4 linked regions of the Lepisosteus oculatus genome follow. Each later gene encodes a partner of the first gene's protein in a complex. Links are inferred from orthologs where the notes say so. Each region holds a gene or a part of one and is shown in the gene's direction. Other genes may lie near its edges.

Evidence for each region.
Region 2: arid1b (region 1) and actl6b share a complex: the UniProt entries of both Homo sapiens proteins name them as parts of the neuron-specific chromatin remodeling complex. The link is inferred for Lepisosteus oculatus from reciprocal best matches to the Homo sapiens genes ARID1B and ACTL6B.
Region 3: arid1b (region 1) and smarcc2 share a complex: the UniProt entries of both Homo sapiens proteins name them as parts of the neuron-specific chromatin remodeling complex. The link is inferred for Lepisosteus oculatus from reciprocal best matches to the Homo sapiens genes ARID1B and SMARCC2.
Region 4: arid1b (region 1) and dpf3 share a complex: the UniProt entries of both Homo sapiens proteins name them as parts of the neuron-specific chromatin remodeling complex. The link is inferred for Lepisosteus oculatus from reciprocal best matches to the Homo sapiens genes ARID1B and DPF3.

The regions. Positions count from the first base shown.
Region 1 is NC_090697.1:11,354,861-11,362,266, forward strand, and holds the start of arid1b (AT-rich interactive domain-containing protein 1B), read left to right. Parts: upstream 1-4,387; 5' UTR 4,388-4,854; coding exon 4,855-6,231; intron 6,232-7,406. UniProt on the Homo sapiens protein: Involved in transcriptional activation and repression of select genes by chromatin remodeling (alteration of DNA-nucleosome topology).
Region 2 is NC_090698.1:10,092,553-10,100,270, forward strand, and holds the start of actl6b (actin-like protein 6B), read left to right. Parts: upstream 1-4,698; 5' UTR 4,699-4,940; coding exon 4,941-4,965; intron 4,966-6,456; coding exon 6,457-6,533; intron 6,534-7,019; coding exon 7,020-7,185; intron 7,186-7,718. UniProt on the Homo sapiens protein: Involved in transcriptional activation and repression of select genes by chromatin remodeling (alteration of DNA-nucleosome topology).
Region 3 is NC_090696.1:19,696,011-19,703,593, reverse strand, and holds the start of smarcc2 (SWI/SNF complex subunit SMARCC2), read left to right. Parts: upstream 1-4,583; 5' UTR 4,584-4,594; coding exon 4,595-4,705; intron 4,706-7,583. UniProt on the Homo sapiens protein: Involved in transcriptional activation and repression of select genes by chromatin remodeling (alteration of DNA-nucleosome topology).
Region 4 is NC_090703.1:15,138,309-15,146,127, forward strand, and holds the start of dpf3 (zinc finger protein DPF3), read left to right. Parts: upstream 1-4,812; 5' UTR 4,813-4,840; coding exon 4,841-4,872; intron 4,873-7,819. UniProt on the Homo sapiens protein: Belongs to the neuron-specific chromatin remodeling complex (nBAF complex).

The DNA.
Region 1 (7,406 bases):
CCAGGGGGCTTTTCTGATTTTCCAGATACTAATGGTTGTTGACATCTCTGCAAATACAGTATACAGTGTACAGGTCTGCTCTCAGTATCCATCACCTGCCGACTCAAGAACCGAACAGCTGAAAGATCTTTGAAAAGTCTTTAAGCCAAATCTATTTATGCTTGACATAACATATGCATTTACACACGCGTTTCTGTTACGTTCTTAAAATAAAACTGTCCAATGTATATTTTGAAATACATGTCTGCAATGCTTTTAAATAACCAATAACATTATAAGATGTGGAATAATAACAAATGAAAATTAAACTTTGTGATTTAGATATCAAGATAGGCATATGTAGAAGAAATAATGTCATACCATGACATTAAAATGAAATTGAAATGAGTAAACAATATTTTCTTCAAAATAAGTATTTTACAGAGTTAATTGTGAAAGAATGCAAACACACTTTAAATTTCAGAGAAGCTCTAAGAATGTAAATTTTGCACAATTGTTCCACTGAAGCAATTGGACAGTTCTAATCCTCGTCTCACTGCTCTTATATTCTTGGACAAATACTGTAGCTAATGGGCAAAGTGTCAGACAATAAGTTCCTGAAAGATTTCAGTCATTTATAGCTATTGATCCACCATAAAACAAAACTTACTTTCAGCTGGAGAAGTAAACAAATGTTCTTCTTGTGTTTTACTAATTCCACGATGCCTTTGAATGAATTGGTGTTCATTAGAATCCCAGAGATGTTCCAGAACCTAATAATATTTCTGGAACAATCCAAATGAATCATCCCTACCTGCATTACAGCGAGAGAGGAGAGTATTTGCTCTGTGTGCATGTACACTGGGATTTGTGTTTGCGCTGTTCTCTTGGAACGTGCACAGTAAAATAGACAACACTTTCACACAATGTGAACAGTACATTACAAAACAGTAATAGTACCACAAAGCACAACATACAATGGGTAGTGCAGAACAATAAACACACAGGACAATAAACACATGATAGCCAAGTAGTAGCAGTTCTCTTTATATAGGGCTTGTCATACTTTACAGGCCCAGTTAGAGGCTGGGCCTGAAGGAGTGGTCTACACAGAGAGGCTGAAAGAAATGAAACGATTTTGTCTTGAACACAGGCGACTACAAAGTGTTTAAAATCTTCAAAGGCACAGGCCAAGACAGCCCACTGAACTTCTCGAGAAACAGCAGTGAAACCGCAACCAGAGCACACAACTGGAAACTACAAGGACAAGGAAGTCCTGTACATGTGCACCCCCTGATTACAGGAGGGGCCTCTTAGACACAAGGGGTAGTAGTGGGTGTCTAGAACTTCGTAACCGAAGCCGATACGTTGAGATCTTGAGATCATCGAATCAATTAGCTGTTAACTGCCAAACATAATAATAATTGCTTACACTTATATAGCACTTTTCTGGACACTCCACTCAAAATGCTTGACAGGTAATGGGGATCCCCTCCACCACCATTGTGCAGCCCCACCTGGATGATGTGACGGCAGCCATTGTGCACCAGTACACTCCCCACACACCAGTTATCCTCCCAGGCAGAGTAGAGGGATGAAACAACTTCATACATGGGGATTAATGTTAATGTTTTTTTTAATGTTTCTTTATTAGCCCTATACAATTTCTTGCATTAGGAATTCGTCTTTTCGCATACCCCAGCTTTTCTCCATGGAGACACAGACACACAGACAGGGAGAGAAGCTTGGGGTCAGAGCGCAGGGTCTGCCATTGTACGGCGCCCCTGGAGCAGTTGGGGTTAAGGGCCTTGCTCAGGGGCCCAACGGAGTAGGATTCTGATTCCTCTGCCGGCCGCGGGATTTGAACCGGCAACCTTCCAGTCACAGGCGCAGATCCTGAGCCACAGAGCCACCTCTCCGCCCATTATGTGGAGGCCATGCTGGGGGAATTTGGCCAGGACGCCGGGGTTACACCCCTACTCTTTTCGAGAAACACCCTGGGATTTTTAATGACCACAGAGAGCCAGGACCTCGGTTTTACGTCTCATCCGAAGGACAGTGCCTTTTTACAGTATAGTGTCCCCGTCACTATACTGGGGCATTAGGACCCACATGGACTGCAGGGTGAGCGCCCCCTGCTGGCCTCACTAACACCTCTTCCAGCAGCAACCTTAGTTTTTCTGAGCGAGTTGCAGGGTGATGTGCCCAGGCTGTTAAACCTGAAGGCAGCTTTACCAGTAACACTGTGTTCCTGTTTATCATGCTAACACGTATTGACAAAATTTCTCTTTTGTCTCAGCCAACGGCTTTGCCTCAACAGGTCGTGTTTTGAAAATATGGCGCTACTGCTGTTGCCCGTGTCAACAACCCATCCTGGTTTGGCCCAGGAAACTGGTTTTATCCTCCTCTGCAGGTGTCTTGTTCCCTTGCCCCCTTCTGATCACTGAGACTAGTCACCTCAGCCAGGCAGGAACGGCAATTAACCTTCCCGCGTCAGCAGAACCCAGCGGGCTCGGAATCAAAATGACTCAGGAGCCTGAGCTGCGCTCGTTATTATATTTCACAGCTTTTGGCTGGGTGGTGGAAACACGCGCGATTCAATCGTGCAACGTGCGCGGGACTTCTGCTGTTGTCGGTTTTGCTCGTCGGGTAGGTAGTAGTTAGAGAGCAGTCCCGGGGAGAGCGGGAGAGGACGTAACCCGGCAGAACAAAAGAGGCATCTTTAACCCGGGGATGACGTCACCTTCGTTCTACTGACAACTATGATGTATGCGCGGCGGCTGTGAGCAACTCCCCGTGCTTCCGTTTCGTGGAAGAAAAAAGAGATTTATATATATATATCGCTAAACCTACAGCAGGCCCTGCGTTTAAAGCGTGATGAGAAACGCAGCGGGCGTCCAGCTTCCTTGTTAGGCAAAAGTGTGTTCTCTTGTTATGACACGGTCGACCCGAGACACGGTTTGAAGCGTTCAGCGGAGGGGGGTGGACGGAACAGCACGCAGGCAGGGACTGAGAAAATGCTCTAAAAACTAGGAATGTTGCCGATTATAAAGGAGGGATGGAAACGCGTTTTATTTTTAAGTTGACGCGTTTCGCCACGGCTTTTCCTGCCGCACGGTTCCCAGCCGTAGTCTGTCGTTTCTTGGCAATGCAACGTCCCCGACTAAAGTGTTCCTAACTGTTTAAAGTTACTGGTTATTCTGTGTACATATTAAAGCTGAGATCCTGTGATTGCGTGTGATACTGCCTGACTCTTCAGAGCTGCAGAAAAATGAATTGAGCCTGGGGGAAAGGAGACAGGGAATACGTGGACTGGAGCTCCGAGCACGGAGCACGGATCCCCCAGCCGAGGGATCGTGGACAGCAGGAGTCGGGCGGTCGCGGTTACAGTGTCATAAGGTTTAGTTTGAATGCCGAATTTGACCAAATACGCTTGCTATTGTGACGAAAGCATTTCATTTAAGTGTAAAATTAAATTGTAGTTTGTAGGTCGTTATTTTAAAACGCATATTAATGTAACTGCTTCAAGGAGACATACACTTCACACTTAGTAGCAACTTGGTACCAAAAGTCATTAAAGTACTGTAAACTGCATGTATGCCAAACACTACAAAACTATAGGGATGATGTTGTGTATGTACTTTACTACGGTAACCTTTTGAATAGCGGCCTATTTACGTACTCTCTTCTGCAACACCCTGATATTCTCGAGATAATGGAGTTCAAAAAGTGCAATAATAATAATAAAGATATTGTTCATTTTACACTCTGCTTCCTACTCGACTGAGAGGCTGTTAAAAGCACAGAAACCAGTCTTTGAGGGGTCTTTTGTGTGGTCTGGAGATGAACAGCACACACACACACTCAGAGGAAAACTGGAAATGTGTAAATATACCTTTAAAAGCCGGTTCATCGTCGTGTTGCTCTTTGTGGTTGAGAAAGGCAACTATGAAAAACCCCTCTGCCTCTGGCTAACATTCTGTAGGAGGAATACTTCAAAACATATCAAAATCACAATTTTCAATGAAGATTTTAAAGAGTTTCAAATCAAGACTCAAAACCTTTTTTAGAAGGACTTTTACTTAAACCGGGTCTGTTATGTACCTCTTTGCTCCTACTGTAACCCCATATACTACCTCTTCTCCTTTGCACACTCGTGCTTATATTTCATGTTTTTTTTTAATTTTGTTTTGTTGTTGCACAGTGAGGCGCTTTGAGAAGCCGCTTTTAAAGGTGCCAAATAAAAATAAAGTTTATTTATATATATGATTTAACCAGCAACGTGTATGGGGGGGGGGCGTTTGTTGTTAATACCCCACAACATGATCGAACCGACTTCCCCCGGCCGTTTTGGAGAAAAAAAAACATCCTTGATTTTACTCCGTAAAGAGTAAATCTGCGTCAAACACGTCCCAGGCTTGCGCGTACACCGCTGGCTGGTCAACGTGGGATTTGCCAGCCCGGTGGGTGAGGCTAGAAATCCAGTCCGCGTTTTCCACGCGAATCGCAAGAAAGAGCAGGATAATAGTTGCAAGAGCCCTCTCTCTCTCTTGTGCCATGCTGGGCGAGAGAGACACAGGGAGACATGCATTTACCCATATCCGGGTTAGAGAGGAAAGGAAGAAAAGTTTCATTTAAAACCTGGACAAAAACTTTCAACATGAAATCACACCGCGGGAGCAGGCAGAGCCAGTGAGACAGTATCGTTTCCGAGTACAGCCAGAACTTTACGGTTTGCGGGATATTCGTTCATTTGAGCACTTCTCTCTTGTTTTTTTCTCCTTTTTTTCCTCCTTCTGTGTGTTTTTTTTCTTTTTTTTCTCCCTCTTTTTTTTTCGGTCTAAGCCTGTTTGGATTACTGCCTGAAATGTTGAAATGATCATGGCCGCGCAAGTGACAACATCTCCGGCGACGACTGGTAGTAAAAATCCCAATTTATCCGGCGGTCTGAATCAGGATTTAAACTCTGGGAAATCGGGAGGGGGAACGGTACAGGGATCGGGAGCAATTCTGGGAGTTGGAGATGGAACTAACACTATGAATAATGTAGATCACCACCACCACCACCACCACCATAACGAGCTGAGCATGGCCAATACAACTTCTTCTTCTGCAAATAACACTTCGGACTTGCGAGAGAAGGAGGGCGTCAATAGTGCTGCATCTTTATCTTCTTCAAATTCGGCTACTTCTTCGAGCATGGAGACGGGTTTGATAGCGAATCACAAACTGAAAAATGTTGGTGGCGGAGATCCCCCTCCTCCGTCTCACCATCACACACCGACACAGCCCCAGCCACCACGATTCAGTCAGTTCCAGCAGCTCCATTCACACCAAATCCAAAACAACAACATCAACAACAACAGCAACAGCGGCGGCGGCAACCAGGCGCAGGTACCGGGGGAAGCGGAGAATCGGCAACATGGAGGGAAAGAGCATATTTTGGGAAACCAGGTCGGGCAGCAGCAGCCGCTGCTGAATAAAAGTGAAGAGGAGGGCCGTGCCTGCAAATCGGGGGATCAGATGGGCAGCAGGTACGAGCACGCCAACTTGGGACCAGCGAACAACAACAACAGCAGCAGCAACAGCAACAACAGCAGCCAGCCCCAAAGTGCTGGGGGGACGACTAGCACTGTTCCCGAGTTTAATAATTATTATGGCAACGCTAGAGGAGGCCCTTGCTTTGATCAACATGGCGGACAACAAAGCCCTGGGATGGGGATAATGCATCCTTCGGCTCCCAACAGCATGGATTCCGTTCAAAACTCCCACGAAGGGTACCACAACAGCCAGTACAACCACTACCCGAGCTACCGACCGGGCTACGGCGGCGCAGGCTATGGGATCATGAGCTCTCCCAGGCAGGGGAGTCACACGCTGATGGGCCCAGGCAGCAACAGCCACAGCAGCGCTGCTGGCCATGGCAAGATTGCTATGGCTGCTGCCTCGGCTCCTGGGGGCAGCGTGGGGGGGTTTCAGAGGTTCCCCGGGCAGAGCCAGCACCCGTCCGGGGCCACCCCGACTCTCAACCAGCTCCTGACGTCCCCCAGCCCCATGATGCGGGGCTTCAGCGGCGGCGGCTACCCCGAGTACAGTGGCCCCGCCGCGCCGCCACAGCAGCAGGCGAGCGTGGGGCTGGGCAAAGACGCGAGTTCCCAGTACGGGTCCACAGCCCACGGCTGGGGAGGACATCAGAGAAATCACCCTGTCATGAGTCCTGGCAACACTGGACAAGTTATCAGTAGACCTCAGGTAAATGTTTCTCGGTTTTGTACGGCGTGCTCTCGGGAAGCTCATGCTGAAGGTCTGTGTTTATCGTCTGGTTGTAGTTGCAAAACCTAGTGGGTTCGTCATGTCTGACTTTTTTTTAACGTGCTGAGCGCACATTTTTTTCTCCGTGTAACTAAATCAAATGGCTGTTTTCCTCTCTTCCCCTCCTTTTTCTTTTTTTTTTGGGGGGGTGTTGTTGTTGCTTTATTTCGTACCGGCTTGGCTGCTGCTACTGTTGTTGTTGGCGGTGTTTTTTCTTTAAAATATCTGGATTTATTCGCGTCCACCCCTCTCTCCTGTGATGTCGACTGTTATTAGATTTTAAAGTTAGGACGGGGGCTGGAAGTTCTGTCCAAGGTGACTTACGTGATCGCAAATGCACAAAAGATCTTCATAATAATCAGGTATTTGAACGTAAACGCACCCGTGTCTTACGTTATATTACTGTTTACATATATTTTACAGCTTTTTTCCCCCGTCCTTCTTTCGTTTGATCCTCGTGGAGGATTACGAATCGTCCCCAGGAACATTCTCGTCCGCCGCTTAAACTTATAAAGTATTATAAATGTGGCGTGATGAATATTCATAAATCGGATGTGTCCTTCTTGTATAATATTTTTAAGTACATTTCACTCGCCTGCGACTGGGAAATTATATGATATTTAAGAGATCGGCCGTCACTCTTTGAATCTCAGGCCCGTCCTGTGGCGAGTTGTGTACTAACGTGCGTTTTACATACGTGTATATTGGGAGAGGGGGGGGGATAAAAACACACACACACAACGAGGATTTCGCTCATTATAATAGGCTTGCTTTTCTTTAATCAACTTGCCGTTAACGGCGTACGGGGCCGTCTTTTAAAGCGACGTTAAATGGGCAGCGCGCAGGGCCGGGCGGTCGGTGGGTGGCGGGCCGAGCCCCGGCATCGCCGTAGTAAAATTTTCGCGGATCGATAACGTCGATCAAGTCAATAACGACTGTGGCCTCTCGGGTGGAGGACCCCCCCCCAGAAAAACAACAAATAAACAGAAGAAAGGCAGGCGGGCTGTATCAGACGCGGGCGACCTGCGCTCTCCGCCGGCGTGAACCCCGGCGCGGTGCGGGGAGCTGCCGACGAGCGCCCGGCGGGCCGGCCGCGCTTGCGAGCGACTTGATCT
Region 2 (7,718 bases), on another chromosome or scaffold:
CATTCCTCCCAAATGTCCGTCAGCAACTTTATATCAATGGATCATCACACACAGAAAGAGGCACACAGGCCTCTATATCCCACTGGAGCGCTCAGCTGCAGCCGGCTGGCATGAGTGAGCGTTCAGTAAACTCAGAGGAGGCATCACTGCCACGCCAGTGCAGTTCGACACACAGGACCTACTAACTCAGACGGCGAGCCGCTGCATTTCTGATACGGGGGGGGGGCTTCATGACCACTGCTGTATATGACCTGCCTCTTTGTGTGCATGGCTCCATGAACCATCGCCTCTCCTCTTCAGTTGAGGGGGGCTGGGAAGGGATGAGAAGACCATGTGCAACTGCAGACGGGAGGTAGCTCCTATATTTTCAGAAGCAGCACACTCCTCCCCCCTCCCCCCCCCCCTGCCTGTTCAGTAATGGTATGGCCCACCTGCCAAGTTCTCCAGGCTGCCTCATTAGGGAGTGTAGTAACGGAGGCTGGGTTGCTTAGCAACAGCCTTAGCGATGGTTCTAGGCTGGATGGATGGGCAGAGGCTGATGGAAGGAGAGAGAATCAGTCCAACACACACACACACTCAAGCCCACAGACATGCACACGCACAGACATACACAAGTGCACAGATACACAAATGCAAGCACCGATGCACTTACAGACATGGTAACACACAATGACACAGAAACACAAATTCCAATACACCTCTCTCTCAGTCTACACAGCCTCGCGTATACAGAGAGCATAATGTCCAGAGCACAAAAGAGAAGGAAGAGGTATCACAGAGCAGCCTTCCAGAAATATGCAGGATTCCTTCTCTGCAGGGGGCGCTATAATCGATTTCCAATTCACCCCATCCCACCTCACCCGTTTCCAAAGCTGTGGCCCTTCGATAAAGGGTCAGACAGCCTTGTCAACCACTGCTCCTCACCCTGCCCCCTACAGGAAAGACAGAGAACAACCCATTGTGTGCACTCTGTGAGACATCTGCCTCCCGTCACACTGACACAGACACACACTGACACAGAGAGGTGCACACACACTGACTCACAGACACACACTGACACAGAGAGGTGCACACACACTGACTCACAGACACACACTGACGCAGACACACACTGACACTGATATCCACACTAACACAGTGACATGGGTATCAACACACACTGACACAGAGACCAACACAGACACAGAGACACACACACTCACACGCAGATACATGCATACACTCACAAATAGATACACACACACACTGACACAGGGACAAACACTCACACACAGATACATGCATACACTGACAAGTATGACAAATAAATACACACTGACACAGATATATACATGATCACAGTGACACAGACTGACATGGACACTGTACATGTACACAAAGATTCAAACACACACTGATACACAGATACCATGCATACACACACATAGATGCATGCACACACACTGACACACATTCACACACACACACTGACACACTGATACCATGCACACACACACAGATTCACAGACACTGACACACTGATACCATGCACACATACACAGATTCACACACACACTGACACCATGCACACACAGAATTCACACACACTGACACACAGATACTGTACATGCACACACACTGCCGATCACTGGACCCTCAGTTGGAGCAGGAGGGACCCAGAGACACGATCTGCCCCAGCCCGTCAGGGATACTGATGCCCCGGAGCGAGAAAGCAGCCGGTCAGGCCGGGCCGGAGGCGAGGGGCACTCCAGCACAGCGTCGCCTTTTTAATCGGTGATGAAATAGCGGCGTATTTACGGGACTGCAGGACTGGGACACCCTGGCAGAAAATAATACACACCCACCCGAAAATAACCACCTGCCCAATTGCTCTCCTTATAATGAGCGCGATCCGGACACAGTCGGACTTTCCAATCCAGCCGGACGCCCACTCGTGAGCAGCAACTGACAGGTCTGCCCACGGAGACCGCGGCAGCACCCGTATCGATCCGCGAGTGACTGCGCTCCTCTCGTCATCTCGCTGCCCGGCGCCCGGCGTCTCTTACCTGATCCGCGCCCGTGCCTCTCTCCCTCTCTCACACACAGGGGGCCTTTCCCGGGACCGTCCACCCCAGGACAAGAGTGACCGATTCCCCCCCTCCTTCTCCTCCTCCCCGTCTCCTCTGGAGCGGGACCGGAAAAAAAAAACACCCACCGCGTCACCTGCCTCCGGCGCCGCAGGGGTTAAGTGTTCGCGGCTCCCCCTCTGCTCCACACCGCCCCCCTCTTCCCTTTTCCTCCTTGTCCGCCTCCTCTCGGAGTCTGCCAGGACACGCCCACCACGACCGCATTGTTCCAGACTGACAGGGGGAATTGTCCAATCAGAGGCAGAGATGACCACTGAGGGGACGGAATGCGGCTATCGACGTAGAATGTGCCAATGAACCACGCGATGATAAACCAAACTTACTCTGAGCCCATCATGGGGCTACAGTCCCAGTACAGGAGAACAGTCCTGTCACAATAGGAGCTACAGTCCCAGTACAGGAGAACAGTCCTGTTACAATAGGGGCTACAGTCCCAGTACAGGAGAACAGTCCTGTTACAATAGGAGCTACAGTCCAGTACAGGATAACAGTCCTGTTACAATAGGAGCTACAGTCCCAATACAGGAGAACAGTCCTGTTACAATAGGAGCTACAGTCCCAGTACAGGAGAACAGTCCCGTTACATAGGGGCTACAGTCCCAGTACAGGAGAACAGTCCCGTTACAATAGGGGCTACAGTCCCAGTACAGGAGAACAGTCCCGTTACAATAGAGGCTACAGTCCCAGTACAGGACAACAGTCCTGTTACAATAGGAGCTACAGTCCCAGTACAGGAGAACAGTCCTGTCACAATAAGGGCTACAGTCCCAGTACAGGAGAACACTCCCATTACAATAGGGGCTACAGTCCCAGTACAGGAGAACAGTCCCGTTACATAGGGGCTACAGTCCCAGTACAGGAGAACAGTCCTGTTACAATAGGGGCTACAGTCCCAGTACAGGAGAACAGTCCTGTTACAATAGGGGCTACAGTCCCAGTACAGGAGAACACTCCCGTTACAATAGGAGCTACAGTCCCAGTACAGGAGAACAGTCCCGTTACAATAGGAGCTACAGTCCCAGTACAGGAGAACAGTCCCGTTACAATAGGGGCTACAGTCCCAGTACAGGAGAACAGTCCTGTTACAATAGGAGCTACAGTCCCAGTGCAGGAGAACAGTCCCGTTACAATATGAGCTACAGTCCCAGTACAAGAGAACAGTCCTGTTACAATAGGAGCTACAGTCCCAGTACAGGAGAACAGTCCTGTTACAATAGAGGCTACAGTCCCAGTACAGGAGAACACTCCCGTTACAATAGGAGCTACAGTCCCAGTACAGGAGAACAGTCCTGTTACAATAGGAGCTACAGTCCCAGTACAGGAGAACAGTCCCGTTACAATAGGAGCTACAGTCCCAGTACAGGAGAACAGTCCTGTTACAATAGGAGCTACAGTCCCAGTGCAGGAGAACAGTCCCGTTACAATATGAGCTACAGTCCCAGTACAAGAGAACAGTCCTGTTACAATAGGAGCTACAGTCCCAGTACAGGAGAACAGTCCTGTTACAATAGAGGCTACAGTCCCAATACAGGAGGACAGTCCTGTTACAATAGGAGCTACAGTCCCAGTGCAGGAGAACAGTCCTGTTACAATAGGAGCTACAGTCCCAGTACAGGAGAACAGTCCTGTTACAATAGGAGCTACAGTCCCAGTACAGGAAAACAGTCCTGTCACAATAAGGGCTACAGTCCCAGTGCAGTAGAACAGTCCTGTTACAATAGGGGCTACAGTCCCAGTACAGGAGAACAGTCCTGTTACAATAGGAGCTACAGTCCCAGTACAGGAGAACAGTCCCGTTACAATAGGAGCTACAGTCCCAGTACAGGAGAACAGTCCCGTTACAATAGGGGCTACAGTCCCAGTACAGGAGAACAGTCCTGTTACAATAGGAGCTACAGTCCCAGTGCAGGAGAACAGTCCCGTTACAATATGAGCTACAGTCCCAGTACAAGAGAACAGTCCTGTTACAATAGGAGCTACAGTCCCAGTACAGGAGAACAGTCCTGTTACAATAGAGACTACAGTCCCAATACAGGAGGACAGTCCTGTTACAATAGGAGCTACAGTCCCAGTACAGGAGAACAGTCCTGTTACAATAGGAGCTACAGTCCCAGTGCAGGAGGACAGTCCTGTTACAATAGGAGCTACAGTCCCAGTGCAGGAGAACAGTCCTGTTACAATAGGAGCTACAGTCCCAGTACAGGAGAACAGTCCTGTTACAATAGGAGCTACAGTCCCAGTGCAGTAGAACAGTCCTGTTACAATAGGGGCTACAGTCCCAGTACAGGAGAACAGTCCTGTTACAATAGGAGCTACAGTCCCAGTGCAGTAGAACAGTCCTGTTACAATAGGGGCTACAGTCCCAGTACAGGAGAACAGTCCTGTTATAATACGGGCAAATTGAAGTCGGGGGAAATTAATTCTTCTCGTTGCCTTGGAGACCAGAACCTTTAAGGTACAGCCTGTCCGCCCACCCATTTCTTCTTGCCACCCAATGGCGTGCGTCCACACGGCGCTGTGATTGGTGGGCTGAGGAAGAACAACAGCGGGAGAAAGAGCGAGTGTGCTCGTGCGTGAGGGGGGGGCGCGAGCCTCAGCCGTCCAGCTTCGCCTTATTCTGCACAGTTGTCATCCACAGACCCCCGTCCCCAAATCCTTCCTGTACAGACAGATCTTTGTAATTTCACCCGACAGTTACGCATTAGGGATATCTGATCAAATCCGAGCTGTCCTGACCTCCTGTCTCTTTTTTTCAGGTTTCTGTTTAATTGATGTGACAGCTCGTTTTGTGGGGGGGTGGGTCTAGGCGCCGGTATGAGCGGCGGAGTGTACGGAGGAGGTAAGGAGCGACCGTTTCGTCTGCGCGCAAAAACCCGTTTCCGAGACGGGTGACACCTGAGGACCGAGGCTGGGAGATAAACCCCCCCCCCCCCCCGTGAGCGAGACAGGGGGTGTGGGAGAGAGCGAGCGGGCGGACGCGAGCTTCGCCGCGTCCATGTCGTGCGACACTTGGCGTGTATCGCGACACCGGAATGCAGACTCGAGAGGCTGAGCAGCAGGATGATATACTGCTGAACGCGTCTGCCTCCGTGCCCGTGTTTACATCCGTGTCCGCATCGGTGTCTGTGGTCCAGAGCGGTGCTCGCGGCTGCCTGCGCCTTCACCCGTACCCGTGCCCACGGCCGTGTCTTTGTTCCACTGCCTGTCCACTGTGTCCGTGTGCGTGGCGCTGCTGTCAGCGGGGTCTCCGCCAGTGGCGGGGTCTGTGTCGCCGGGTCCGGGGGCGAGCGGGGCAGCGTGCGGCGACACAGGGGGACCCGCGAGGGGATGGGGACCCGCGTGGGTGACCTCCCATCGCAGGAAAAGCCACGGTTCCGTGGGGTCAAGTCCATCCCGACACGCGCGTGTGGGGAAACGGTGTCGGGATTGGGGAATGTCGGCCGCAGATGCGTTAAAGGAACGGAGTCTCTTCAGTGGTCTGCAGCGCTGTAGGGGACTATGAGGTGGGGCTGTTCAGGAATTCAACTGTCAGTTGCTGACAGCCTGAACCCAGAACATTGTTCTATGTCAGGAACACGACGGCACAACCGGATGTGTAATAATAATTAATAATTGCTTACACTTATATAGCGCTTTTCTGGACACTCCACTCAAAGCGCTTTACAGGTAATGGGGACTCCCCTCCACCACCACCAATGTGCAGCCCCACCAGGATGTGTAGACAAGCCTGAGAACAGGGAGCACATCCTTACACAAAGGCTGGTGAGGGTGTGGAACAGCAGCCCCAGCGCTGTTGTTGTTGTTGTTGAAGGAGATTCCCTGGAATCCCTCCAAATCATCCGGATGACTTGGGGAAAGAATGGCTATTGAGCAACCCAACTCCCGCTGTCCCTTGCCCAGCCTGTGACTGTTGCTCCAGTCATGTCCAACTGGGCTAAACTGCAGAGGACCAGTGACGAGTGGGAACACTCACCCAGCAGGCTGGGGTCCCCGGGTTCAGGTTCAGGCAGGATCGTCTGGAGCTGAGCATGGGGCTGATTCCTGTCAGGGTTCAGGGTTCGAGGACCACTTGGTCCCAGCGAGACAGAGAGCTCAGCAGCCACACCTCCTTACCTGCAGCTGAGAGAGGGGTGTCTCTCTCTCCCTCTGCCTGTCTCACTCTCTCTCCCTGTCTCCAGGTGAGCCCCTGTCTCTCTCTCCCTCTGCCTGTCTCTCCCTCTCCCTGTCTCCAGGTGTGCCCCTGTCTCACTCCCTCTCTGCCCGTCTCTCCCTCTCCCTGTCTCCAGGAGTGCCCCTGTCTCACTCCCTCTCCCTGTCTCTCCCTCCCCAGATGAGGTCGGGGCTCTGGTGTTTGACATCGGCTCGTTCTCCACCAGGGCGGGCTACGCTGGCGAGGACTGCCCGAAGGTACCGCGCGGCTCCTGCCCGCTCACCCCTCTCTCCGCCCTGGCCATTCCTGCCCGGAGGATAAGCTGAACACTTGCTGGTTTTCCAGTGCCAGTCAGCCCCTTCCAGCACGCAGTGAAAAACCGCCCCCCCCCCGAGCAGTGCATCGTGATCCGTGTAGAACTGGGACTATGAGAAAAGTGGTTCACAAGAGTGCACGCCAGGGGGCACCTCAGGGCTGGGCTCTGTCTGGACGCTGTTACAGCCCCGCACGGCGGGCCCTGGCGTGAGCCTGACTTGTCCACGTCGCCAGCAGGGCGTTCCCCATGGCCTCTTGCCATGTGAGGTCCCAGCCCCACTGCGCTGCAGTGGTCAAGCTGCCTCGCTGGCCCTCCTCCAGCAGCACTGCCGTTCACCTCGTACCCACTGTCCCCTTCACCCCCTCCCCCTCTCTGTCTCTCGCGCTGGCCTCACCTCACCCCCCCCTCCCTCTCTCCTTCTGCCCAGGCGGATTTCCCCACCTCCCTGGGAGTGCTGGCCCAGGAGGAAGGGGGCGCGGAGCTGGGGGCGGACAAGGAGAAGTCGTCAGGACGCACGTTCTACATCGACACCAACGCCTTGCACGTGGCCCGCCCCGGGGTGGAGCTGGTGTCCCCGCTGAAGAACGGCATGAGTGCGTGATGCCGCCTGCCCACGACCCCACTGCAGCTTCATCAATAGGAGCCATGTACCTTCGAACCACAGGGGGGCTCCCCCTAGTGGCCAGCCGGGGAAAACACTCTTTCCGAGTGTCGCTCCTGCAGTCTGCACTGATGTGTCCTACTCAATATATAATATCATTACATATTAATATACAATTAATATATAAAATATTAATTATATATCAATACATAATCATACTAATATGCTTTGAACTGAAAATGATACATACGTATACTTATCTATACTGAAAATTATATGTACAGATACTGATAATACTGGTACTGATCTATATATACTGAAACTATGTCGAGATTTGAAATATGATAGTAATACACATGGAGACTAGTATGTACAGAAACTGGTACACACCGAAATTGACATGATCAGGTACTGGTAATACACTGAAGCTGATATGTACGGATACTGAGACACTGCAGTACTGATCCAGGCCTGCTCCTACAGCGGTCACGCTAATGACGCCGGCGCTGTCGATGCTGTTTGTTT
Region 3 (7,583 bases), on another chromosome or scaffold:
CCCGGGGTGGTGACTGTCCTCTGTGATGGCCAGAATTCTACCACGGCAGCGGTCCTCATAGAGCTGTTTAATCTCGGTGAGACCGCAGCCGATGATCTTCTGGGCCACATTGACCATTCTCTCCAGTGCCTCTCTCTCTCGAGAAAAGGTGTTGCCATACCACACGGTGATCCCGTTGGTGAGGATGCTCTCGATGGTGCAGCAGTAGAAGTTCACCAGCACATGTATTGGCATCCCCCACGACTGGCACCTCAAGAAATAAAGGCGTTGCTTCCTGATAGAGTCAGTGTTCACAGTCCAGGTTAGATCTTTAGAGATGTGAATTCCCAAAAACCTAAAGCTGGTGACTGTTTCCACTCCGTTCCATCAATACTGAGTGGGCTGTGAGTGTATGGCCTGTGTCTCCGAAAGTCCACTATAAGCTCTTTCGTTTTCTTTATGTTCAAGTCCAGGTTATTGCTATGACACCACCTAAGCAGCTGTACAACTTCATCCCTGTAAGTGGACTCGTCATCATCACTGATCAGTCCTATTATAGTGGTGTCATTGGCAAACTTAATGATGCGGTTGTTGCTGTGTCTTGCTGTGCAGTCGTGAGTAAATAGGGAGTACAACCTTGGACTCAGACAGCAGCCTTGTGGGGTTCCAGTGCTCAGGGTGAGTGGTGATGTTTTATAGCCTATCCGCACCACCTGTGGTCTCTCGATAAAAAAGTCCAGCAGCCAGTTGCAGACAGAGTTGCACAGACCTAATCCCCTGAGCTTTGTCACCAGTTGACTGGGTATGATGGAATTGAATGCTTAACTGTAATCCACAAACAGCATTCTCACACACGAGTTCTTAATGTCCAGGTGTTCCAAGGCTGTATGCAGAGCCAGGGAGACAGCATCATCCACTGATCTGTTGTTTTGGTAGGCAAACTGCAAGGGGTCCAGGGACTCCTTGCAGTGTGACAACACCAGCTTCTCCAGGCATTTCATCACCACAGATGTTAATGCTACTGGGCGGTAATCATTCAGGCATGTCACTTTTGCCTTTTTGGGGGTTGGAACAATAGTGTTTTTTTTAAAGCAGGTGGGGACCATGGACTGTGACAGGGAGGAGTTAAAGATGTCCGTAAACACTGTGGTCAGCTGGGCTGCACATGTCCTCAGGACGCGAGGTGGTATCCCATCAGGCCCTGCAGCCTTATGGATTTTCACCCTGCTCAGAGTCTTCTGCACGTCCTGCTCTGAGAGTTTCAGAACAAACTTGCCCTGCACACTTGGGGTCTTCTCAGCATTGCCCATGTTCAGAGCATCAAAGCGGGCATAGAAATGGTTCAGCTCGTCAGGCAGGGATGCGTTGTTCGTGTCAATCTCCTGGCTGCAGCCCTTGTAGCCTGTGATTGACTGTAATCCCTGCCACAGCCTCCGGGTGTCAGCGCACTGCGTTTCAGCCACAGGCACAGACCCTTAGCCACAGAGCCACCATTCCACCCCAATCCCCCCTGCACCCCCATGTCGTGGCCAAATTTCCCCCTGTCCTTTACCAATCATGGCCTCCTAATAATCCCCATCTCTGAACTGGCTCCATCACTCTGTTCTCCCCCCCCACTGAGAGCTGGTGTGTGATGAGCATACTGGCGCACTATGGCTGCTGTCTCATCATCCAGGTGGGGCTGCACACTGGTGTTGGTGGAGGGGAGTCCCCATTACCTGTACAGCTTTTTGAATGGAGTGTCCACAAAAACACTATATAACTATTGATTACTTATTTTTATTTGTATGTATATTTTTATTTGTATATATATATGGCCAGCAGCCATATCACCCTGCAACTCACAACTGGCAGCCCACTGAAGCTCAGCAGGTGTGAGCCTGGTCAGTACCTGGATGGAGACCTCCTGGGAAAAACTAAGGTTGCTGCTGGAAGAGGTGTTAGTGGGGCCAGCAGGGGGCGCTCACCCTGCAGTCTATGTGGGTCCTAATGCCCCAGTATAGTGACGGGGACACTATACTGTAAACAGGCGCCGTCCTTCGGATGAGACGTAAAACCAAGGTCCTGACTCTCTGTGGTCATTAAAAATCCCAGGGCGCTTCTCGAAAAGAGTAGGGGTGTAACCCCGGTGTCCTGGCCAAATTTCCAATTGGCCCTTACTAATCATGGCCTCCTAATAATCCCCCTCTATAAATTGGCTTAATTACTCTGCTCTCCTCCCCACTGATAGTTGATGTGTGGTGAGCGTTCTGGCGCACTATGGCTGCACACTGGTGGTGGTGGAGGGGATCCCCATTACCTGTAAAGTGCTTTGAGTGGAGTGTCTAGAAAAGCGCTATATAAGTGTAAGCAATTATTATTATCTCTGAAGAAGAGAAGTGAACAAGACCTGTTACAAAGAAGAGCCCCTCAGCCCCTCTGGCCCGTTAGGCAGTGAGTAGCCAATTGATCTGAGGAAGTCATCATCCAGCTGCTTCCTGAAAGAAGCCGGGAAATTAGGGTCAACAACATGGCTGGACAGCTTGTTCCATACGCTCTACACAAAGGGTTGTGGGAGTGTGGAACAAGCTACCCAGCCATGTGGTTGAAGCTGATTCCCTGGGTTCTTTCAAGAAACAGCCGGATGAGATCCTCATATCAATGAGCTAATAATTGCCACACGGACCAGGTGCGTGGATGTCCTCCCATTTGGAATTGGTCACATTCCACTAAAGACACTACCAAGGTCTGGGCATAAACCCCTCATCTGTAATCTGTGCTTTCTATTAGTAAACCAGTTCCAAATCCAGACACACATTTCCCTGAAAGCCTGATGCCCTAATCTGGAAATTAATATTTAATGATGGAACTTAATCGAAAGCCTTCTGAAAGTCTAAATACACTCTTTCCTAAGCTCTGTGCGTATCCAGTTCTGCTGTTGCTTGATCAGAGAACTGTAACAACTTAGTCACGCAAGGCCTCCCTGGTCTAAGTCCTGTTGTCTATTCCCATGGGTATTATTACCACATACTGCAGGCGAACCTTTACTTTGGGTCTGTTACCTTCTTCTATATCTTGTAGGTAATAGAGGTCAGACTTATCGGTCCATATTTACCTACAGGGTTCAGTCACCCTTCTTAAAGAGGGGTGCTATATTGGCAGCTCTCCAGTGCCTGGGTGCGACCCCTCCCTTGAGTGAGCGTCCGAAGAGTTGTGTCAGCGGCTTCTGAACCACATTTCTCATTTCCTTCAGTGAAATCGGTACAATACCACTGAGTCATGGGGATTTATTCATCTTTCGTCATTCTAGTACTAAAAAACACTTCTGCCTCTTCTGGACAAAGACACCCATCCGCTTTCTACCCACTTCATGAGGCAGGGTACACCCTGGACGGGACGCCAGTCCATCACAGACATACACACTCACAGCAGGGCCAGCCATGACACAAGCCACCAGCATGGCTTTGGACTGCGGGAGGAAACTGGAGCAGCTGGAGGAAACCTACAGGAACACGAAGGAAACATGCAGACTCCACACAGACAGCACCCCAGGTCTGGAATTCGACCCTGGACCCCAGTGCCAGTGGGCAGCAATGCTGACCAGTGCCCCAGCGTGTCACCCTGTGCTGACAGAACTGAATACAACTGTGTGCTTCCTCACTGTGTTACTGAGGCAGGCTTCCTCCTTTAGGAGCCCATCGGTGCAGCAGATGTCGATAGATGTTCTGTCTAGATGATTCGGGTCCCATAACAGCTTACGGCACAAGTTTTGGGCAGAGCAGTGGCTCTGTGGCTAAGCATCTGCGCCTGTTGCTGGTTCAAATCCTGCAGCTGGCAGAGAAATCCTACTCCGTTGGGCCCCTGAGCAAGCCCCTTAACCCCAGCTGTTCCAGGGGTGCTGTGTAAATGGCTGACCCTGCGCTCTGACCCCCAGCTTCTCTCCCTGTCTGTGTGTCTCAGGGAGAGCAAGCTGGGGTCTGTGAAAAGACAAATTCCTAATGCAAGAAACTGTACATGCCCAATAAAGTGATCTGACCTTATCTTGGCACATCAGCTATTTCCCTGGTGCTGTCTATTGTCCATTATTGTCCCTGATAACATATTACTTCATCCTTAATAGTTCTGTTACTGCTCTTCTGCATTCAAGGGGGACTATTGTATTTTTCACTGTTGTGTACCCACAGTCAATCATGTTCAGTCAATTATTTAAATGAAGACTGTCCTTTTCTGACCTTAAAACTGCACGTCTGTCACACACTCACTTACACATGGCAAAAAAAATAAATATTTAGTGCTAAAAAGCTCGTCTTTCCTCCTCGTTCTGTTTATGACACCAGCAATCATTTTTTTTTTGCCTATGATAAAATCCTCTATGACGAATTAATAAAGACGGTATTTCACGAGGAGAGACGATTTATGTGAGAAACTGCGCGGCAGGATGCGCCATGTTGGATCTAACTCCTTCCTTTTTCACTGTGGGGGTCTGGCCGCGGTACCGGAGCCAAGATGGCGCCAGTTTCGCCTCGACCTCCTCTCCCTGGACGCGGCTGGCCGCAAACCCGCAGCGCCGCCGAGCAGCCGCCAGGTGGCGCCCGATCCCCCTCCCCCTGTTCTGTCTACAGGCGACCCAGCAAAGATGGCGGTGCGGAAGAAAGACGGCGGCCCGAATGTTAAATATTTCGAGGCGTCCGATACGGTTTCGCAGTTCGACAATGTCCGCATTTGGTTGGGCAAGAATTACAAAAAGGTACCTCTTCATTTTCCCCCCTTTTTCAATGCCATGTCTGGGTGTTTTTTGAAAAAGAGCTCCGGAGACCAGGGGGCTGGGTGAGGCGGGGGGAATTCTTGAATCCGGCTGAGCGATTCAGCCGAGACACAATGAGAGCCGCCCAGAAAACAAAAGAGACCCCGATGTTATTCTCCCCGTCATCCCGGCTGCAGGGGTGCGACCCCTCGGGCTGCCGGTTCGGGCGCGCGGAACGAATCGCAGTGCACAGCAGGGGGCAACCTGTCGCGTTTGAGCCGCGGCGTGTGTTTAGTGTGTTTGCGTGCGTGTCATTCCTTGATTTTGTCTGTTTTCGCAATTTAACTGGCAGGCGGAGATTCTCGCCAGCTGTTAACATCTGGCAGCCCCTGGCGTGTAGCCAGCGGTACTGCACGGCGGCGGGGGGAGCCGTGCGTGTTCTGAGATAACGGCTCTGACAGCCGTGGCCTCCTCCCCTCGCCCCGTCAACACTGCGGGGTCGTGTGGTGCGGGAGTTTCGCGTTTCGATGTTGCGCGACAAAACCTCAGCGCTGTCACAGACAGACACACACACGCGCGCGCGCGCGCGCGCCCCCTCCCACGCGAACAGCGCCCAGCCCCACTCAGCCCCCGGCTCGGAGCGCGAGGCTGCCGAGCGGCCAGATGTGCTGTCCTATCGCAGCGCGTGTGTGCTGCGTGAAGTGATTCACGCGCGGCGCAAAGTGGAGAAACGCACGAGAGGTCAGTGCTGTACTCTACTATACAGTGCAACCTCCTGCACACTGACTGACTGATATTGAAGATTGATCCTGGATGTGCTGTAGTGTTCAGTCAGTGTCTCTGTACTGTAACTGTACTGTGTAGTAATGTGCTAAACTACAGTGTCCGTTAACATACTAGAGTATTTTTGAAGTATTCCATTGTATGACACTTTAGGGTGATGTACTGTATAGTGCTGCGTATTGCTTTACGCAGTCAGTGTGTCTGTATTAACCCCTCTCTCTCAGTGCAGTGTTAATGTACTGTAGTGTCCAGTCAGTCAGTGTGTCTGTATTAACCCCTCTCTCTCAGTGCAGTGTTAGTGTACTGTAGTGTCCAGTCAGTGTGTCTGTATTAACCCCTCTCTCTCAGTGCAGTGTTAGTGTACTGTAGTGTCCAGTCAGTATGTCTTGATTAACCCCTCTCTCTCAGTGCAGTGTTAATGTACTGGAGTGTCCAGTCAGTGTGTCTGTATTAACCCCTCTCTCTCAGTGCAGTGTTAGTGTACTGTAGTGTCCAGTCAGTATGTCTGTATTAACCCCTCTCTCTCAGTGCAGTGTTAGTGTACTGTAGTGTCCAGTCAGTGTGTCTGTATTAACCCCTCTCTCTCAGTGCAGTGTTAGTGTACTGTAGTGTCCAGTCAGTCAGTGTGTCTGTATTAACCCCTCTCTCTCAGTGCAGTGTTAATGTACTGTAGTGTCCAGTCAGTGTGTCTGTATTAACCCCTCTCTCTCAGTGCAGTGTTAATGTACTGTAGTGTCCAGTCAGTCAGTGTGTCTGTATTAACCCCTCTCTCTCAGTGCAGTGTTAGTGTACTGTAGTGTCCAGTCAGTGTGTCTGTATTAACCCCTCTCTCTCAGTGCAGCGTTAATGTACTGTAGTGTCCAGTCAGTATGTCTTGATTAACTCCTCTCTCAGTGTAATAATAATATAATAATAAACTTTATTTTATATAGCGCCTTTAAAGGTGGCTTCTCAAAGCGCTTTACAGGATGACAATAACAATAAATAAGAAGACTACAACAATAAATACTGTTAGTGTACTGCAGTGTCCAGTCAGTGTGTCTGTATTAACCCCTCTCTCTCAGTGCAGTGTTAATGTACTGTAGTGTCCAGTCAGTATGTCTGTATTAACCCCTCTCTCTCAGTGCAGTGTTAATGTACTGTAGTGTCCAGTCAGTATGTCTGTATTAACCCCTCTCTCTCAGTGCAGTGTTAATGTACTGTAGTGTCCAGTCAGTATGTCTGTATTAACCCCTCTCTCTCAGTGCAGTGTTAATGTACTGTAGTGTCCAGTCAGTGTGTCTGTATTAACCCCTCTCTCTCAGTGCAGTGTTAATGTACTGTAGTGTCCAGTCAGTATGTCTTGATTAACCCCTCTCTCTCAGTGCAGTGTTAATGTACTGGAGTGTCCAGTCAGTCAGTGTGTCTGTATTAACCCCTCTCTCTCAGTGCAGTGTTAGTGTACTGTAGTGTCCAGTCAGTGTGTCTGTATTAACCCCTCTCTCTCAGTGCAGTGTTAGTGTACTGTAGTGTCCAGTCAGTCAGTGTGTCTGTATTAACCCCTCTCTCTCAGTGCAGTGTTAATGTACTGTAGTGTCCAGTCAGTGTGTCTGTATTAACCCCTCTCTCTCAGTGCAGTGTTAATGTACTGTAGTGTCCAGTCAGTGTGTCTGTATTAACCCCTCTCTCTCAGTGCAGTGTTAGTGTACTGTAGTGTCCAGTCAGTGTGTCTGTATTAACCCCTCTCTCTCAGTGCAGCGTTAATGTACTGTAGTGTCCAGTCAGTATGTCTTGATTAACTCCTCTCTCAGTGTAATAATAATATAATAATAAACTTTATTTTATATAGCGCCTTTAAAGGTGGCTTCTCAAAGCGCTTTACAGGATGACAATAACAATAAATAAGAAGACTACAACAATAAATACTGTTAGTGTACTGCAGTGTCCAGTCAGTGTGTCTGTATTAACCCCTCTCTCTCAGTGCAGTGTTAATGTACTGTAGTGTCCAGTCAGTATGTCTGTATTAACCCCTCTCTCTCAGTGCAGTGTTAATGTACTGTAGTGTCCAGTCAGTATGTCTGTATTAACCCCTCTCTCTCAGTGCAGTGTTAATGTACTG
Region 4 (7,819 bases), on another chromosome or scaffold:
GGACACCAGTCCATCGCAGGGCCCACACACGGACACACGCTCACATCTGGCCAAATTATATCAGAAGCCAATGAACCCAGCAGTATGTTTGTAGAGTGTGAGAAGAAACCGAAGCACTCAGAGGAAACCCATATAAACACAGGGGGAGCACACAAACTTCCCGCAGATATCACCCCAGGGCTGGAGTTTAAACCCAGGGCCCCCAACGCTGCAGCAGAGCAATGCCAACTACTGTGCCACAGTGCTGCCCTCTGTTCTCTTTAAGACACCAAAAATAATGTGATAAAATAATGCGAGTTTTTTAAACGTTTGCAAAAGGACAAATAAAAAACACAAAAGGAACTAAATTCTTAACTCATTCTATGCTCAGTTTGAGGTCAGTAACGCCGATCCAGCCAGGAGGACTCCAGAAATCCAGGGCAAACACCCACTGATCATATCCAGAGCGGATGTATGTAAAGTTTTTAAAAAGACCAATCCACACAAGGCCCCTGGCCCTGATGCTATCACTGGCTGTGTTCTGAAGGCATGTGCAGAGCAGCTGGCAGATGCCTTCTCGGACATATTCAATCTTTCTCTAGCTCAGTCTACAGTTCCTTCCTGCTTTCAGAAAACCACCATCGTCCCTGTCCCTAAGACACCCAGAGTCAGCTGCCTTAATGACTACCACCCCGTTGCACTCACATCAGTTATCATGAAGTGCTTCGAGCAGTTGGTCAAAGCATACATCACCTCCTCACTGCCTGACACTCTAGACCCACTACAATTTGAGTATCGCCAGAACAGGTCCAACAGAGAATGCTATTGCCACTGCCCTTCATACTGCCCTCTCACACCTGGATAAGAAAGGAAGATATGTGAGAATGCTCTTTGTTGATTACAGCTGAGCATTCAATACCATAGTGCCCTTGAAGCTTGTCATCAAGCTCCAGGACCTGAGAATGAACACCTCCCCTTGTAACTGGATCCTGGACTTCTCAACAGAAAGTCCGCAGGTGGTGAGGGTGGGCACCAACATATCCTCTACCACGACTCTAAACACTGGAGCCCACCAAGGCTGTGTGCTTAGCCCTGTCCTCTACTCCTTATTTACCCATGATTGTGTCGCCAGGCATAACTCAAACTCCATCATTAAGTTTGCGGATGATACAACAGTCATCGTCCTGATCACAGATGGTGAAGAGTCTGTGTACAGGGAGGAGGTTGAAACCCTGGCAGCATGGTGCCAGGAGAACAACCTCTCTCTGAACATCAGTAAGACTAAGGAGAGGATCTTGGATTATAGGAAACATCAGGGAGCAGGTCACATACCTATTCATATCAATAGAAGTGAAGTGGAGAGGGTCAGCAGTTTTAAGTTCCTGGGAGTTAACATCACTTAACCTGGACCCACCACACCAACACCGTGGTCAAAATAGCACGGCAGGGCCTATTCTTTCTCCGCAGGCTAAAGAAGTTTGGCATGCTGTCACATATCCAGGCCAGCTTCTATACAGTAGGTGCACTATTGAGAGTATCCTGACTGGTTGCATCACTGCCTGGTATGGGAGCTGCTCCAGTCCAGGTCCATTCTCAAGAACCCCAGTCATAAACTGTTTTCTCTCCTACCGTCCGGTAAACGGTATCAAAGCATCAAAGTCCAACAGATTACGGAACAGCTTCTACCTCCAGGCAATAAGACTGCTAAACAGCCAAGCTGCAGTTCCTTCAGCAAATCACCCATAATGGCTACATGGACATACAGTTTTCACTGTATGCAGCATACTGCACTACTTGGACATAATATATTGCATAAACCCTGGACACATAGCAGCTCTATTTATAGAGTTTTGTCTGAGTTTATTTCTATCGCACTATTATCTGTCATCATGTAACCTTATTTTGTCACTTTAATTTTGTGATTTTTACCCCCCCGGTGAGCTCATAGATAAGACATTTCATTGCCAGCAACTACTGCTGCATGCTGTATTGTTGTGCATTAAATAAAGAAACTTTGATTGATTGATTGACAACAGCATAGCGGTTAGCGCTCCCATCACCTTCTGAAAGGTGCCTCTTTCATGTTTTCCCTGTATTCACAGTGATGTTCTCCAGGTATTTCAGGTTCCTTACACCACCCCGTGACAATACTAATCACTGGTGTCTCTAACGTGTGTCACTGTGCTCTCTGAAAGACTGCCGTGCTGTCCAGGGTTTCTCCACTGGGCCCAAGCATACCATCTATGCCTACAGGATAGGCTCCAGGTGGCGGGCTGCAGAAATCTTGGGAGTTTTCAAAAAGCCCATCCTGAAGCTGTTAAAATTTGAACCATTTCACAATTCTGATATATTCTTGCAACATATTTACATATTTCCATTCATCGAGCAACAAGAATTATTGGATGAAGATAACTGTACATAAATTAGCTCCATCAAGAAACAGTAAGGTGCAATCAGTCAATGTACACTGAATATTCAAGAAAAAAAGGGAATTGCTCATTACTTGTATCAAAAACCCTGTTACTGATTTGATGTTTTCTAATCTTAGACCGGTATAATTAAAAAACATTCTAACCTCATTAGTAGGGTAAAGGTTTGGATTCATAACTCGATTGTTTCATTATGAAATATGCAGGTAAATCACTGAATACATATAGCCAGCTGGTGCTGGTAAAATAATTGAAATAAATACTACGGTTATGATTAAACGTAATTTTGTTTAAAGAACTGAACATCCATGGCGTTGACCGTCAGTGAACGCTAGCAGTCCGTCAAAGACAAGACCATCAATATGCATGTAATTCATGGTGTATTTGCGCGTACCTATCCCTTAAAATGAGATTCTGTTTCTGAGATTCTGAGTCCCGTTTCTTCTTTGTAGATGAGAATTATTTTCCCTCAATTGACGTATCTCTTGACTAATTCCCTTATAAAGCAAATGAAAGTATCTGAGCAACTACTGTAATAGCTTCATACAATCATACAATAAATGGATAAGTGATGGCAGCCTATTCTAGGATAAAAGATAACACAATAACGTAAATTTCAATCGGTACATATGCCACCGATATCGGACATAGTACACTTCAGGTTTATGGCGTAAAGGTTTACCTTTTGAGCTGACAGTGTGTAAATGAAGTCCCACTGGTATGTGTTCACAGAAAACACCCTTAACTACGTAAACGTACCGCAATCACTTCACATCACTTAAATTACTTCTATTTTTTGTTGCCAGTATCGTGCAAAACAACACTCAATTCCAATCGTAATAAGGTAAAATACCCATTACAGCAAAACTAACAAAGGGCAGCTGTAATCCTATCAAAATCAATATGAAAGGATAAGCAGTTGTTTATTAAAATATATTAAACGCACAGTTATAGTGGTTCACATACTGTAGCTACATATTTTAACTAAATTTCAATCATTGTGAATATCTCAATCGTAATCATGAAGTATCTACCAGTTGTATTTAAGGATTTTAATCAATGATCCTATTTTCATAAAGCCCCTCTAAAATACACATCTAAAAAGATACAATCCCCTCAAAGGTTGTCCAAACTATAACAAACAAAGTAAAGTCCATTGATCAGAACTTTAAAATTACCAAATAACATTAATAAAAAAATATTTAAAAGACAGCAACATTCGCTTTTCCTGTTTTACCTGCCACAACGCTGCAACCACGTGATGTTCGCCAGCCCCGCCTTTCGTCTCCTATTGGTCCATCTCTGACGCTGCGTGGCGTCCTGGAGCACGTGATTGACTTCCCTGCGTATCAATTACACTGGCGGCTTTGCTGTTTTGCTCTGAGCACAGAAGTGTGTCCAGTATTGTAATGTGGTAGTACTGTTGGCTCGCATGAAACAGGTTCTGTGCTATTTGAGAATTAAGGTAAACAAAGGATGTTAATAACCGATCATTAAAAAGGTAAAACACGACACTGAAAAAGGAACACGTGTATTAGTGTAATATTTAATTGAAGTCGGTGTTCTCTGTGACTTCATGAACTGAATTTAATGCTTGAAGGCAGTTTTGCCGTTATGCTTTCTCACACTGTATTTTTTATTTTATTTTTGTACAACATTTTAACAACTCCCCGCCTCCGCACTCACAGTTGCGTTTTGAGTCAATAGCTTTGCGGCTGGTACGTCGTTATTGCTTTGTAATTGTAACTTTTGTCCCCAGTGTTATTGATCTGCTGACCCGAGTTGCAAATCTTTTACGAACTACAATATGCCTCTTTCTCATAGAAATGTAGACACTCAGCTTTTACATAAAAACAGAAATGACCAATGCTGTGAGTTAAATGAATTTTGTATTGTTGACTTGAAAATGCTGAACATTTGTGTTGCATAAATATCCAGGGACGTCAAATACGAATAATAGATTTATTCGCTGCTTCTAATAGCTGCTAGGAAAGAAGCACACGAAAAGAGCTTTATCATCCAGTGATGGAATTGGAAACAATTAGTTTGTTTTAGCCATTAAATGTATTTTAATGAAGATAAAAGGAATAACGGGTACGAAACAAAGCAACAACCCCTCGTCCCCTCAAACTGAGTATGGGTGATAAGATAATTAGTACTTTTATTTGATTTAGTAGGGACTCAAGTTAACAATACGAGGATAGTTTTTGCTTTGTCTCTTTAAGAGATGAGGTATCCAGTTGGTCTAATGTACAAAAGAGCGCACCCCCTTCGAATGGACTTGACAGTTATTCTCGTAGGCCACGCCTTATCTTGAATTTCTTATTTCGGATTGGCCAGTGAGTCGGACACGTTGGCGCTGATTGGACGTTTTTTTCGTAGGGTTCCCTCAGAACTCTGAGACACAGAATATTGGGTTACAGTGTAGCAAAATGGCGACTGTCATTCAGAATCCACTCAAAGCGTAAGTAATTCTCAAAATTTAATACAGTTATAATTTGCGAACTTTTCTGTTTCTGTTTTTGAGCACCGTGCAAAGAAAGGCAACACAAATAGAAACTCACAACAGAATGCAGTTGTTAGGGCACGCGTACGTTTTGTCTTGTGTTATTTTTCCCCATACATCTTGACAAATAATAATTTAAATAGTTTTGTATTATTATTTTTGGTGCGATACGTAGAGTGCAGCATGATCACGCTGGGATAAGCAGAACGTGTTGCAAAGCCGTTGAACGAATTCTAAAAAATGCCGAAATAAGACATTTATACAAACGGATCGCGATTTCGTTTTTATCAGACTGTACACACAAAAAATAAAAAAGTTAATATTTTCACTCTTCGTTGTACTTGCAAAGCGCGACAGCTGTTTTCCGTGCGAAAATCGTATTGTTCATGTAGGAAAGTCTTTTTGCAGGATTAAGCATATTGACTCATCAGAACTCTTTTTAAAATATATATAACCTTTGTGCAGAACCGCTGATTATTTCCGCAGGTCCTTTGCTGCATGATTGTACTTTTTAAAAAGTTTGTTAACTAGGTTTTCACGGAACAGTCTGATACGCTCTATGCAATAGACTTTCCTTTTAAACGCCGTTTGATAATCCGGTTTCTTGCAAACTCACAGATTTTACCATAATTATTTCACGATGGTTCACGGATTCTAAACATCAAAGCAGTAAATGTTTTTCTGTCACAGGAAAAGCTTAAGCCATTCGGTATGACCATAGCATTACAACGAGATTCGGGTTTAAAATTTATCTTTTGGTCTGTGCGTGCGTTGCTCGTATCTATTCCCCACAGAGCAGGAAAACAGGAGGTCGCTTTCTCTGGAGGTGTGAACTGCTGTTATTGGTGGGGGTGGAGGATAGTTGAAAGATTAGATTGCTGAATCGACTGTTGGCATTTACTGTATGAAGATGACATCAAGCAAATGAGCAGATTGTTAGTTTCAAGGGTAAACGGGATTACCTAAGAATTAAATGCTACCCTTTGTCCCAGACACGACTTTGTAGATGCTGTTAGCCTGCTATTAGTATTACCCCTTTTGTGGAACATATAAATTAAAGAGTGCTTTTCAGAAAGTTTGACTAAACTCAGAGACTTGTAGCAAGATACCGCCTTGAGTCGTGACTAGTGGTGGTTCTGATATGTTTTTCGAACGCGAATGGCTTCTACTAAAAAAGATTCTTACATTTAAAATGCCAAACTACAAATATTGTCAATCGGAAAACAAAATGTTCATTACCGTCGCGCCTCGCATAGTTCAAGCTTCCGACTGTTTACTGTTTTCTTTTAAGTGTAAAGGTTAGTTATCTGTGAGTTTAAATGCAACATTTCCTCATTTTAATTTTTGTTAAAGTGTAATTCAAATGGTAAAAAAATATATACGATATAAGTATCATTTTGCAGAAGCTGATAGCTGCTTATTATCCAGGTGTGACATTTTAAGTTAGGATGAAAGTAAGCAGACTTCAGCGTATTGTAACATGCATGTATCTGTTACATTTCCAGTTAGAGTGTGGAGGTAAGTAGGAAACGAGGAAAAACATAATTATACTTAGTTTTTTCTAACTTTGTGAATTTGCTAGTATAATAATTTACTGGGGCCTGAAAAAATGATATTTGTATAAAGGTGATGATGCACATATGTTCGTAATGTTGTCATTTACATGCTGGGATTATGCCCACATCTAGACCCAAATCAATAATCAACAATTTAATAAAAATGGACACGAGAGCTTGTTTGGTTGACTTTCTTAGGTGGAAATGCCTAAACCACAGAAGGCAAACCCACGTTCAATACAGGAAGGAATATGGTTGTTATAAAAAGACAGGAGGTCATTCAGCCCAGGTCATTGGTTTTTAGTAGCTGATTGATCCAAGGATTTTATGCAACAATTTCTTGAAAGAAGCCAGGGTATCGACTTCAACAACATGGCTGGGTAGTTTATTCCATATTCCCACAGCCCTTTATTGTTATAAAGTCCAGCCTGATTTCAGTTTTAAATTTACTTCCCCATGGTTTCTACTTGTGTCGTCTTGTTTAGTACTGATTCTGGAGGAGTCCGTTGGGTTGACTTTTAAATACTGTACTTGAATCAGGTTTCCTTGTAGTTTTTTTGTCAAGAAATATTATTTTCTGTCAGCCTGTGAGGGTAGGACATTCCTATGAGCTCCGGAATATAACTGGTCATTCTTCTTTGGAACTCATTTCCTCCATATATATACAATAGTGTATTGTATCAGGAGATGACATTGAATTTAGCGTTTCCACCTATGACTATAACTTAGGATAATAAGGAAAAGTGTTTGAATTCTTATGGAAAGATTAATCCAATGTGATCCAAAGTGTGTAACGTAAAAATAGTTTTTCTTCTTTTTGCTAATTCATTTCATTTATAAATGTCACTATTTTCAAATCAATAATGTCTTCCTTCTAGTGCTTGAGTGCTTGAGTAGGGGGTTAAGTATCCTTTTAGGAAGTTAATTATTTTTTTAGCTTTAAGGAGAAAACTGAGTAAGTTTGAATGAGGTTTAATAACTTAAGGGTGTCAACTGCTTTTTTGAAAAATCTATTAAAAGGGTTGAAGTTTATCAATTCATTTCTTTGCATTCTTTAAAGTCTCCTCTGGCAGTACTCTTTTTAAGGCAATGTTTCAAGAAAATCATGAATTGGGCTGCTTTTAAGGCTCTGTAACCTGGTGTGCCCAAACAGTGAACTGTCTGTGCTTTAGCCCTTTGTTTTATTTTCATTCTTTATGTATACATGAATCCCGAAATATTCATTTATCATGTTTTCCTTGTGATATTTGAAAAAAATAAGATTAGCTCAAAAGTGCACATACACAATTTGACATTTAAGTATGTAAACAGTGGATAAAGGCAAGCAGTCTTTTTAAATAAGGTAGAGA